2 linked regions of the Drosophila melanogaster genome follow. The protein of the gene in region 1 purifies or fractionates together with the protein of each later gene. This does not show direct contact. Each region holds a gene or a part of one and is shown on either strand. Other genes may lie near its edges.

Evidence for each region.
Region 2: the proteins of Ocrl (region 1) and IPIP purify together in Drosophila melanogaster (affinity purification with western blotting; 2 studies listed by BioGRID, with this or other methods). This does not show direct contact.

Annotation. Positions count from the first base shown.
Region 1 is NC_004354.4:1,921,047-1,928,044, reverse strand, and holds Ocrl (oculocerebrorenal syndrome of lowe), read right to left. Parts: upstream 5,065-6,998; 5' UTR 4,288-5,064; coding exon 4,180-4,287; intron 3,947-4,179; coding exon 3,760-3,946; intron 3,518-3,759; coding exon 3,256-3,517; intron 3,195-3,255; coding exon 3,009-3,194; intron 2,943-3,008; coding exon 2,610-2,942; intron 2,543-2,609; coding exon 1,666-2,542; intron 1,600-1,665; coding exon 1,413-1,599; intron 1,352-1,412; coding exon 1,127-1,351; intron 1,067-1,126; coding exon 879-1,066; 3' UTR 521-878; downstream 1-520. Other genes in the region: CG11596 (uncharacterized protein), read right to left, coding at 126-259; eIF2Bepsilon (eukaryotic translation initiation factor 2B subunit epsilon), read left to right, coding at 5,222-5,314, 5,378-5,502, 5,576-6,864, 6,930-6,998.
Region 2 is NT_033779.5:6,046,022-6,050,965, reverse strand, and holds IPIP (inositol phosphatase interacting protein), read right to left. Parts: upstream 2,965-4,944; 5' UTR 2,857-2,964; coding exon of another isoform or gene 2,323-2,856; exon of another isoform or gene 2,273-2,322; 5' UTR 2,090-2,272; coding exon 2,029-2,089; intron 1,956-2,028; coding exon 1,620-1,955; intron 1,553-1,619; coding exon 1,334-1,552; intron 893-1,333; coding exon 618-892; 3' UTR 528-617; downstream 1-527. Other genes in the region: CG34179 (uncharacterized protein), read left to right, coding at 2,323-2,832, 3,186-3,227; slmo (slowmo), read left to right, coding at 3,266-3,913.

The DNA.
Region 1 (6,998 bases):
GTTTGTCGGCAGCTTGTCTGCACATGTCGCTGTCACCGCACCGCCCCCCCTCAACGACGATCGGTTGGCAAGCGTCCGTTTGGAGCATGTGCTCCAGAACACAGCGCAAAAACAATAACAATTACCCATAGTAAAGGAAGGCGTTCTGCACCTTCTGAATGTGCTTCTCCTCCTCCTCCTCGTTGATGACGAAGGTTCGGGCCAGTTGCTCGTCCATTTTAGGATGCATTGGGAACGTGGCGCAGTCCATGGAGCTCATCTGGGCGCGTCGTCAGCGGTTTCAACGATAATCTATGCTATTTAAATCCTGGGAGTAATCCGTTGCCTTTGCATTCTGCTGTCGTCTCTGCCGTCAACTGAAGTCGCCACTTTAGATCTGGTTACACTGTCGATAACTTTGGGAATTTAATCGATACCATCCGTACTCACAAATCCGTAGCGCGTCTTTTAATTTTGAAAATTTTGGCGGGCGTGGCCAAATATGTGAACAGCCAATGTAGAGATTTTTCAGAATATTGATACTGTATGTAACGGTGTTATTTATTTTCAGTTGCAACTGAAACGGGGATGTAAGAGGGTCACTTCATTAATTTAAACTAACAAACAATCGTGCTAAACGAATTACTTATTTACACAATTCATTTATCTTTGCGTTGCTGGTTGCGTGTCTCCATGGATTTGTGATGCAGGCGGGGACAACCGAGTTGGAATGAACGGAGGGCGGGCACAAACAATTAACAGTTAAAACAGAGAAGATATAAATGCTAAGTGCCAACAAAGTACCAACAAATAAAATAAATAGCTTAACACTATGCGTAACTATCAACAGAGTAGTACATCTATCGCTCGCTTCCGATTCGGCGGCACAGCTGCGGCGACTATGCCTGCAGACCCGCCCGGGTCCCAGATCCCGAGCCTGTTCCAGTTCCGGCGCCCTCATTGCCGTTGCCCATTGCCTCGACGTCGGTGTCGATGAAGAGCCGCATGAACTGTATGCATCGGCTGTGGTAGTCCATCCAGGCGGCACGCTCGGTGCTTCGCAACAGAATGCGGCCAAAGGTGGATGCTGTGTGGGAGGAATGGCGTTACGATGGTGGTACAATGCTGCTGGAGCTTCTCTACCTACCGACTTGATGCAGATCATAGAACTGACTCTCGATGCCCGCGCGCAGGAACATACAAAGGTGCATGAAAACATTGCGCTTGGGGGGACTTAACAGCGAAATGTAGTCCATAGCCTGCGACTTGTTGGTGCACTCCAGCAGATTCTCGACCACCGGCTCCAGCAGAGCATGCTCCGGCAGATCCAGCAAAAGCAGCAGCGCCTGCGCAGCCGTCTCTGCGTTGGCAGCTGTAGATTGTAAGGGAATATTCACAACTATTATGGTGGCAATCTAATAGAGTCCACTTACGGAACGGATCATCCGACCAGGTGTCCAACCAATCGCGCACCGAGTTAAATTGAGCGCCGAGGGAGAGACGCGAGTCGTAGGACGGGAAGGCGCCCACCTGCTTGGAGCCCTGCCTGTACAGATAGTCGATCAGCAGAAAGAATTCCCGGGGCATCGTCACACGGTATTCCGGTGATTCGTCATTCATCTGCAACGAAACGTGGTTCGTGATCAGTAGAAAAACTTCGTAATTACAAAAATGAAGGGAACTCACGAGTTGCTTAATCTGATCTTGGGAATACTCGCTTAATGGACGGTCGGTGCGGCACATCGTCTCCATGGAAAGGCCAAAGCAACTGGGCTGATAGTCGCCCGTAACCGTGATGAAGATGTCACGCCCGTTCTCCACGTGCAGGATGAGAATATCGAAGTTGTCGCTAGCACGGATCTTGCGAAGCAAGCCGGCAATGGTGCGCACATTGGCGTTCATTTTCAGCCGAATGCTTCGGGCGGAGTCGATCAGCAGCGAGTCTTGGCGCGGATCGACGTGCAGCCATGGCTCGCAGATGGCGTGTATATCCTTCTCTTTGAAACTGAAGTCCACAGGTAGTGGGCAGTTGTTATAGACGTTGAAGTCCCGTGTGCTCGGCTCGTTAAATCGCACAGTCCCGAAATCGATGACCGTCTTCTCGACATTGATCTGTGGCTGGTTGTCGTTCTCCCGCTTGTCCACTGCCTTCAGCACCTCCTCCTGCACCCGTTTGTACTTGACCTCATCGCGAGTCTTGACCTTGACCTGGAACACGGCGTACACGGGCTTGTGATCGCTCTGCCGAATCTCCATGATGCTGTTGTAGGCCAGCTGCTCGATGCGCGTGCCCTTCCAGAGCACTCGATCGCAGTAGGCCGGCGCCCGCTGCTTCTCGCTGCTGTCGTAGTTGTCCGTGCCCGGATCATACTTGTACGTCGGCCGGAACTTGATCTCGCCCTCGGTGTAGCCCTCAAAGCACTTTCCACGCCGCATCTCCTGACGTAGCTGGTCGTACTGCAGTAGCAGCTCGTATGTCTGGGCATCGCTCAGTGGTCCTGGTCGCTGTTGGCCGGGCGGCTCCTGGATGCGGTAATTCAAATCGCCGACCCAGAAGATGTGACTAGAAAAAGACAGAGATGGAGTGAAATAATACTGACTTATACTTATGCCTTCTTCCCCAAACTTACTCATGGTCACTGATTGTTCGGCCATCATCGAAGCGTATGCCCTCCACGATAGCGTTGTAGTCCTGATTCCGCTCCTCCACGTAGCCCATGTGGGCGGCCAGGTGGGAGTTCACAAAGCAGATGTTGCCCTCGTTGAGCTGCAGGCTAATGGCGACACCGCCCTTGTTGCCTAGCGTATTGAAGATGCCGCGGGCCACCGACTTTGGTCGGCAGCGTATGATGTGCTGCCGCAGCTGCTTGCGCACGATGACCGTCAGCATGGTGGCCACCAGGCGGTGCGACATCAGGATTTCGTACTCTACGTCAGGGTGGACGCTGTCCATCATCTTATCGCTGCGGGAGAAAGAACCAACTTAGACTCTCGGTAACGAGGCTATATAACTTATGTGGCACACTCACATCCATTGCTTCTCGATGGCCTGCACCTGGGTGGAGTTCAACATAGCCTTTGTGGGAGTATCTAGCTCCTGCAGTCCAATCGCGTAGATATCCGGCGGCTTCTCACTGCAAGCCAGCCAGGCTCGCAGTGGATTGTTGCTGTCGCTGCAGGTCTTGTTGTTCACATTCCAAGTGGCGCAGTAGATGCTGCAAGGATTGAATAAATGTGCGTGAGAACTCTTGCTTGACAGGGCATTTTCCATCTCACATTATGTCCTTGTAGACAATGTACTCGCTCTCCCGCTTCTTCAGCTCCTGCTTCACTTCTCCGATTTGCCGGTAGTCATTCAGCCACCTGAAGTTAAGCACCGTCTCGGGATCATGCTGCGCCATGGTGCTCTTGAAGGAAATCACCTTGGCCACAAACTCCTCGTAGTGGTGGCTCTCCGTGGCGTAGTAGTAGTACTTGATGGGGCCATCCTCGGCTGTGGACAGGTCAAACTGTTGCGTGGTGATCGAGCTCTTGCTGTCTGCAAAAAATTTGGAAAATGATATATGAAAAAGAGCGAGCTTTCACTAATTAGTTTGCTTTCATCTCAGCTGAAACTATTTGAGATACCAATATTATCATAAGTAAATGCAGTCGTAATCTGTTATGGCCAATAATGAGCGCAAACTTATTGGTTTTGTGACTACTTGACAAACAGTTACTGGGCAATTTGTTTGGCTAGCATAGTCAAGCTGTGTGATGAACATGCACCCTTCATCTCACCCTGTCGCAACTGGAAATTGTGGTCGATTGCGAACACCTTGTTGATGATCAGCTCGTTCGCGGAGGACAATGGAGTGCGCAAGTAGGAGAACGCGATGATGGCAAACGTGCCGCCCGACTGCGATGAAACCAGGGCCAGAAGACGGTTGGAGTACTCTGGTCCTTTGATCTGATACGCCTCGAATATCTATAAGCAAAGGATTGTTTAATAGCAGCCGTTTTAGGTTTTTTTCTGAGCGAAGACGTGAGTGTGATTTAGGCGTAAGGTTACTTGTTAGCGATAATTAATCATCATTTTAGTGTATTTAGCATGTTTCCTGCTAATATTCGTCATTATACTTTAAAAGTCAATCATGATTGACCAACACTCCTTTCTAAACCTTCGCCTGCTTTGATTCGCCAGATCTGATGATTGCTTACGTATTCTATGGTCTCGTCCTCCTTGAAGCGCTCCTTGACAATGTCCTTGGTCGTCCTGGTGGCCGCAGTCGCGGTTCCATTGGCCACTGCCTCGCTCAACGTGTCCATTTGTCTCCGGATTCTGAGTACTGATAGGGTTTTCGAGTGCGCTTCGCTTTCCCCGCCAAGTCGGATTCTCCTCCGCCGCCTGTTTGCGAAGAGATGGCTGCGCTAATCGCTGAATGAAGGGCAGTACTTGAGGGGTTTTTCTTCTGCGTCGATAAATGTGCGTGTAGATATGGATATGGGCTGTATGGACAGTTTGCTTGTTTGCGTCGTTGCTCTTTTCTATTTATAGTTGGCGCGAACGCCCAGTGACTTGTCTTCGTCTGCTGCGGGGTCGCCTGCGAATGGGAATTCTTCGGGTCTTCGCTGGACTGGGAGCTGGCTGCTTGGTTTCTGGTGGCGAGGGCGTCACTGCAACTGGCCGGGGGGTGACCCTGCTCTTGGGCAGCGCGACCGTGGCGGAAGAGCAGTTGAGTTGTGGAATCGTGTTCAGTGCTTATCGCAGCCGTTTGTTTGTTTTCTCGCTTGCTGTGTTGTTGTTGTTGTTGCCTCCATCAAGGTGGGTGTATCGCACACACACGCACACGCACACACTCGCGCCCAGGGGCACTTATTCATCGGCAATGCGATGACAATTATTGGCAATCCAGCGCGATCTTACTAGGCTCGGCCGGCTGATGGGGCGCGGGAGAGGTGGGTGTTAGTACACACAGCACAGACAGAGTGGCACGCGTGCTAATTACCGCGCTGCGATCATTATTTATTTCCAATTATTTTCCGGGCGACTCTTGTAGCCGTTTTCGCGGTGTGACCAGTGTGGCAATGCTACGAAATGCGGCGTTCGAGCGAGTCCAATCAGAATTGGTTGGCGACCCGACTAAGCGTGTGACCAGCCTGCAAGTGCCATTACATACCGCATACCGCGTGCCGCAATCGCTCCAGTGGCCAGCAAACGAGTTGAATTTTTGGGGAAACTACTGGGTTGCAACGCGAGAAGATGGCCCAATTCGAGAAGGAGATCGTTCAGGCGGTGCTGATCGCCGACAACAATGTGTGGAACTTCAAGCCCCTCTCCGACGAGGGCTCTACGGTGAGTGAGCGCCACTGGAATAGGTGAATATCCATTGACTGTCGACCGTTGGATTCTTTGCAGGCCCTGCTGCCGCTGGTCAACGTGCGGATGCTTGACTACGCTCTCATGGCGCTGAACCGCAGCGGCGTGGAGGAGGTGTTCGTGTACACCAGCCTCTATCGCTCGAGCATCCGGGAGCACATCAGGTGGGTTCAGTTGCGGCAGCTGGCAGGATGATGCAATTATGGGTGCTAAACGCTCGATTCGCGTTTTTTGCAGGGCCGGCATTGCCACGGACGCAGCCTGGTCATTCAAGATGACCGTCCATGTGATTGGCGGCGAGGGTTGTCGCTGCTTCGGCGATGCCATGCGTGATTTGGACAATAAGGCGCTGATCCGTGGCCACTTCATTCTGCTCGGCGCCGATACGGTGACCAATGCCGATCTGCGCCCAGTGCTGGAGCAGCACAAGCGGCAGGCCAAGTTCGACAAGGGCACGGCCGCCACGCTGGTGTTCAAGGAGTGTGCCAACAATGTGCGCACTGGCAACGAGGTGCTGATCGCCGTGGACCGTCGCAACGACCGGCTGCACTACCACCAGCGGCTGCGGATGCACCACAAGGAGAATCGCTACCAACTACCACTAGATGTCTTTCTGGGCAACTCGTGTGTGGCGCTGCACCACAACCTCCTAGATCCGCAGATTGCCATTGGCTCGCCCTCAATGCTGTCCCTGTTCAACGACAACTTTGACTTTCAGACGCGTGATGACTTCGTCAGGGGTTTGTTGATAAACGAGGAACTGCTGGACAGCAGGATATATGTGGCACTGCTCCCGGCAGCCCAGTACGCGCACAAGGTGAACAACTGGCCGGCCTACCAGCTGGTTAGTCGGGACATTATCAACCGGTGGGCCTACCCCTTCGTTCCGGACATAGGCCTTTACAAGCTGCAGCAGGAGTACGTCTTCCACAAGGACAACATCTACAAGAGCCCCGAGGCGCATGTCTCGAAAGTGGCTTTGCTCCAGAACGTGGTCATCGAAGCGGGCAGTCACGTAGACAGTGGCTCAGTGATTAGTGACAGCGTGATTGGCGCCAATTGCCGGATCGGCAAGAACTGTCGACTGACCAATGCGTTCCTCATGGCCGACGTCACCGTAATGGACAACTGCAGACTGGAGCACTGCGTGGTGGGCGAAGGAGCCATCATCAACGAGGATTGCGACGTGAGCGCGGGCTGTGTGCTCGGTGCTAAAAGCGTGCTGCCTGCCAAGAAAACGCTGGCGAAGACCCTTATCACCAGAACGCCCAGCAGACGGCGTAGCGATGATGAGGTGGTAGTGGAGCTGAAGTCCATCGGTCCGCATGCCTATATTGTCAGCGATTTGACGACGGGTGATCCCGAGGACTCGGAGTGCGAGGACTTGTTGCCACAGCAGCCGCTCAGTATACCCAAAATGGGAGACTTGCTGGCGCCGCTGGACGAGATCAGTTACTGCAGCGATTTTAGCGAGGACGACGAGGATGCCTCGCGAGCGGTAACGCCACTGCCCGATGACACAAACAGTGAGTGTTGTCCACAAGTGCAGTTGAAAGTCATTCTAATCATGTTTACCAATTGCCAATTCTAGTTTTCCTGGGCGAAGTCATCGATTCCTTGACACGGGGCTTCCGGGAGAAGTCCAACCCTGACTTCCTTG
Region 2 (4,944 bases), on another chromosome or scaffold:
TGTGTTCTTTTACTCAAATATATTTATCTAGCGGGTGAACTTACAGTTCTGTGTGCGGCTTAATTACTTTTCACAGCTAAATTACAAACAACAACGCTAGGTTACAGAGCTGGAACATGTATCGATGGCTGCTCGCGATTATCGATGTTTCCACAAAGCAACCAACGTCGATGTTTTTGTTTTCTTAGCAGTTATCGATTATTTTCGCCGTTCACACTGGGTTTTGTGTCTATCGAATTTTTAAAAAATATTATGTTCTAAATAACAATTAATATGTGGTCTATTCATTTGGACAAAAAAAGTTTTGTTCTTTCATATGTAGAACTTTGTCATCCAAAAATTAGGTTTCTTTAAGTTATCCATTTGAGTAATCCCAACATTATGTTTAACTTTAAAACCAACTTAGTCCTTCAATTCTAACAAATAACCTAAAAAACCCAATTATTAGTATGCCCACATAACTGAGTGCGCCATGATCGCCGAAATTTGTTATATCTAAAGTTTTGTTTATTGAAACAAACATGTATGGAAATTAAGCATAGTTCATTTGAAACGTATTTGATTTAGCACAAAACGGGTAATACATTGGCTTTTTGTCGGAGCAGCCCACTCCTACATCACAACTGGATGAGCGGCTGACCCTGGCGCTCGCGGTAAGCGGACACATCCGGCATCAGTTCCCTGCGAAAGCGCTCGTGGTTGCGTGCGAACTCCTCCAGTGCTTTGACCTGGCGACGCTGGCGCTCAGCACCGTTGACGGTGCTGTGATTATTGTTGGCCGCTCCCGGATCCCGGACATCGGGATAGAAGACGCTGTTCGCGATGGCAGGAGCGGGCGTGGGACGGCGCTGGGCCCTGGGCGTTCCGCTGGGGCTTCCGTTTCCGTTTGCGTCTGCAAGTAGAAAGTGCCTGTAGCCTGGCTTTGGGAATATGCAACAGATTTTGCAGAGAATGTCGCTTAGTGGCATTCCGCTGACTAAATTAGATCGGCTCTGGGTAAATGGCAACGATAAGCTGGCAATCGAAGTTCGGATTATACTGAGAGCACTCTGCTCTTATCTCTAGCTTCTACTAACGGTAGACTCACATTGTATTGGGACAAACAAACAGCTGGCTTTGGGGCCGAAAAATGCCGTATGATTGTATTTAGGCAAAGTTGTAGTTCTGCGGTTATCTATTGGCCAAGTTTCCCACTTAAAATTAGCTTTTAAAACTCAAAGCCCCGAACATGGTGATTCATTTCGTCTTTCAATTTGGTCACTTCCGTTCAGTTAATTTTTGCATTACTATACCCACAGCATTGTACATCCATTTTAAGAGTACGTGTTCATACCTTGCTTGCTCATTAGCTTCTCCTGCTGCAGGCGCGCGTTGCTCGATCCGAAGTATCCGTTGATAAATGGCAGGGGCGACATGACTACTCCGCCCCTCAGCGAACTGTCTGGTGGAGGAGGAGCGGGTCTGTTGAATGGATTTGTCCGCCTGGGCGGCGGTCTAGGCTTCGCACTCTCCGATGCATTTTGTGGTCCGTCCAAGGCGCTGCCGAGCATCTCTGTAGGTTAAAGAACGCAGCGGATTAGTGCACAGGGATTGTAGGATTAGCCATTGTGCAGTCTCACTGTTTCTTGCGTCCTCCATCTCTTGCAACTGGCGTTTTAGCTCGGCCAGGATGATGCGCTTATACTCGTAGCCGGCGCATGTTAGCGCCTTCATCCACGTCTCCATGCTGTCTTGGTTTTCGGCGGCGAGGATGTAGGTGCGATTGCCGTTGAAGGCGATCTCGAAGCAGTAGTTGTCCACCTCGTTAGACAGCTCAATGGTGCAGCCCTCGACAATGATGAGGCCCAAGGGCTCCTTGTCCAAGCGCGACTCGAAGTAGAAGAGCAGGTTGCCTTTCAGCACGAAGTAGCGTCGCTGGAAGGCCTTGTTGACCTCGCCCCGTTTGTTGAGGAAGCCTGCAAGGCGTATCGGTGTGTGATAAATGGATTATGATTATTAATAGACGAGCGAAAGGGCTCGCTTGCATACCTTCCATGTCGAAGGGCGGCGTTCTCGCGAACACGTACAGGTTCTTCTCGTTGATCTTCATGGCTGCACTGTCTCGGGCTGCATTCGAAGCAAATATGGGTGTCCTATTTCCGCCTTTCGTCTCTTATTATTGTGATGAACAGGTAAAAAAAATGCAAAGCGAGAAACAATTGACGCTGCGCGAACAGCTGATGGCCAGTGCTGCCACACCTCCACCGGTTATCGATTGCTGGGTGCGGAATTTCTAGTTTTCAATGTAGATTGCAAACATAAACGAATTTTGAATCCTGCGAAATGTCGTACTTACTCACGGAAATCGCGCTGGAGATGCTGGGCTACAAGTTCTACGACACCAATGGCACATTCCACCTGACCAATTTTCAAAACAACTCCACGCTCAGCGAAACGCATCCCGATGAGCCCTCCCTGCAGGAATTCATTGAGTACACAAATGAGGAGCTGAAGCAAGACGCGCAACAGCAGGAGCCGCACACGCTGGCGGTGCAGGAGGAGTCGTACCTGGATGCCCCCACCATACCCGAGTCACGCTATGCGCGGCGCACGCCGGCCAAGGCGCTGGCCAAGATAATGGACTACGAGAGCGAGAAGATAGTCAACCAGATCAGCACTCGTCTGGAGGGCTCGGTGTCACGTCGGGCGGCGGCGGACAGTGACGAGCAGCTGGCCGAGATCATCAACGAGGAGAGGAAACTAATCGAGGCGGATGCCGAGGTAATACACAACTTTCGGGAGCTCGTGGAGAGCCGACTACAGCGATTGGATAAACGGCCCTACGAGAAATACGTACGTACCTTCGGGCCGCAATAGGAAGCTGCACGTGCAATGTCAAAGTGCCGCCATTACTTTTAGAATTAATTTAGTTTATAAATTTAATAAATAAGTTACCGCTACAGGGTGCCTGCGGCACTTTCATTTTCTCTTACTGCGCCAGTGTGACCACCCTAGCCCATGCACTGGCCAGCGATAGCCCCATCTATCGGAGCCACTGTCATCTCTAGCAGCACAGCACGAGTAAAGGTCAGCTCTCGTAACTTGTCTCGGAAATATTCAATAATTCCGAGATTGCCGTCAAAATTCGAGTCGTGTACTTCAGCTAACGCTCCCCCTGTTTAATTCCGTTCCGTCTGCCCCCGCAGGCTCAGCTCAGCCCGCATCTCGGCTGCCAATTAAGGATATAAAGCCCTCCCCGGACGGTGACGACAACGGCGCTTGCATAATGAAAATCTGGACATCGGAGCACATATTCAACCACCCGTGGGAGACGGTCACGCAGGCGGCGTGGCGCAAGTACCCCAATCCGATGACGCCCTCCATCATTGGCACGGACGTGGTCGAGCGCCGTGTGGTGGACGGCGTCCTGCACACGCATCGCCTGGTGCAGTCCAAGTGGTACTTCCCCAAGTGGACGCACGCGCTGATCGGCACGGCCAAAACTTGTTTCGCCAGCGAACGCTCCACGGTGGACCCGGAGCGCAAACAGATGGTGCTGAAGACAAACAACCTCACCTTCTGCCGCAACATCAGCGTGGACGAGGTGCTCTACTATGAGCCGCATCCGTCGGATGCCAGCAAGACGCTGCTCAAGCAGGAGGCCACCGTGACCGTCTTTGGTGTGCCGCTGTCCCACTACATGGAGGACCTGCTCACCTCGACCATTAGCACAAATGCCGGCAAGGGACGCCAGGGCCTGGAGTGGGTGATCGGGCTGATCAACACGGAGGTCAAGGGCATCGCTCGCGGCACCGACGAACTTCTGCACAACACACGGCGCTCCATCGACGAGGTGACGGAGAGCGCGCGGAAGAGCATGGACGAGATCAGTGCGCAGGCCGCCAAGGCGGCGAAGGCGATGCACATTACGTAGGTGTCGACAAGGCGACAGTGCAAGGTCGCGCGGGGGCTGTTCACTAGTGAATTATTTAGATGGCGCGCGGTCGTCGTTTTAGTACAACTAATTAATCGATGGCACGATGGACATGGACAGCAACATGTGGGACAGCAACACCTTCCTCTATTCTCAAGCCATTCAATGCATATATTTTATAATTATTACTCCCCTTCGAACGAATCGACTGCTAATGAGTCATGTCGATAAAGAAGTGCCCCCGAATGGCTGAACTGGAAGGAACTCGCGCTAATGCTGGCCCCCATTCATGCAGATCAATATATATATAAACCTAAAGTACATAGTCAATGTAAGCTTTGTAAGCCGCCGCAGATTTCGAAGAACGAGAGGAGCAATTAAACGACATATTTGCCTACGACCAGCCAGTGTCAAGTTCAATTGTTTAATTTTAATTCGCAGCACACTTGTACTGCGTCTTTTTTTTTTGCATTTGCATGACGTTCGCATGTGCAACTGCAGCAATTTTAAGCATTCTGTGTATAAATAAAACCCAAGAAAGTCGATTTGTGGGTTTTTTCTCTACATACATACTTGATTAGCGATTTTTGGCGTCTGTTTTATTCGCTTATCATCAAAAGCCCACGTGCCTAGTGGCTCAACAACTGTGTACCTAGTTAGCATCGCAGACATGGAAACTGATATGTCCCTTATCTGGTTCAACAGTTGCGAAGAATGTGATTGAAGGGGAAAGTGGGTGCTTGGAAACAAGTTGATGATCAAACAGCAGGTGTTCTAGGGACAAGGTGAAATACTTTTACCTAACTTATCAAAAGAAGTAACTTATTTATTTAGCAGTTTTCGTAAGCTTTTAATCAAAATAAACAAGTAATCCTTACGAATTACAATTAAACTATTTGGTTCATTGAACCCGTGTAGCATTAACCCTTGCAAGTTACGCAATGGGTACAATTTACGAAAGCTTTTAAAGCTCAATTCGCCTAAGGGTTAATTTGAATTCCAGCGGCAGTCGCTGTGCAGCACTGGCCAAC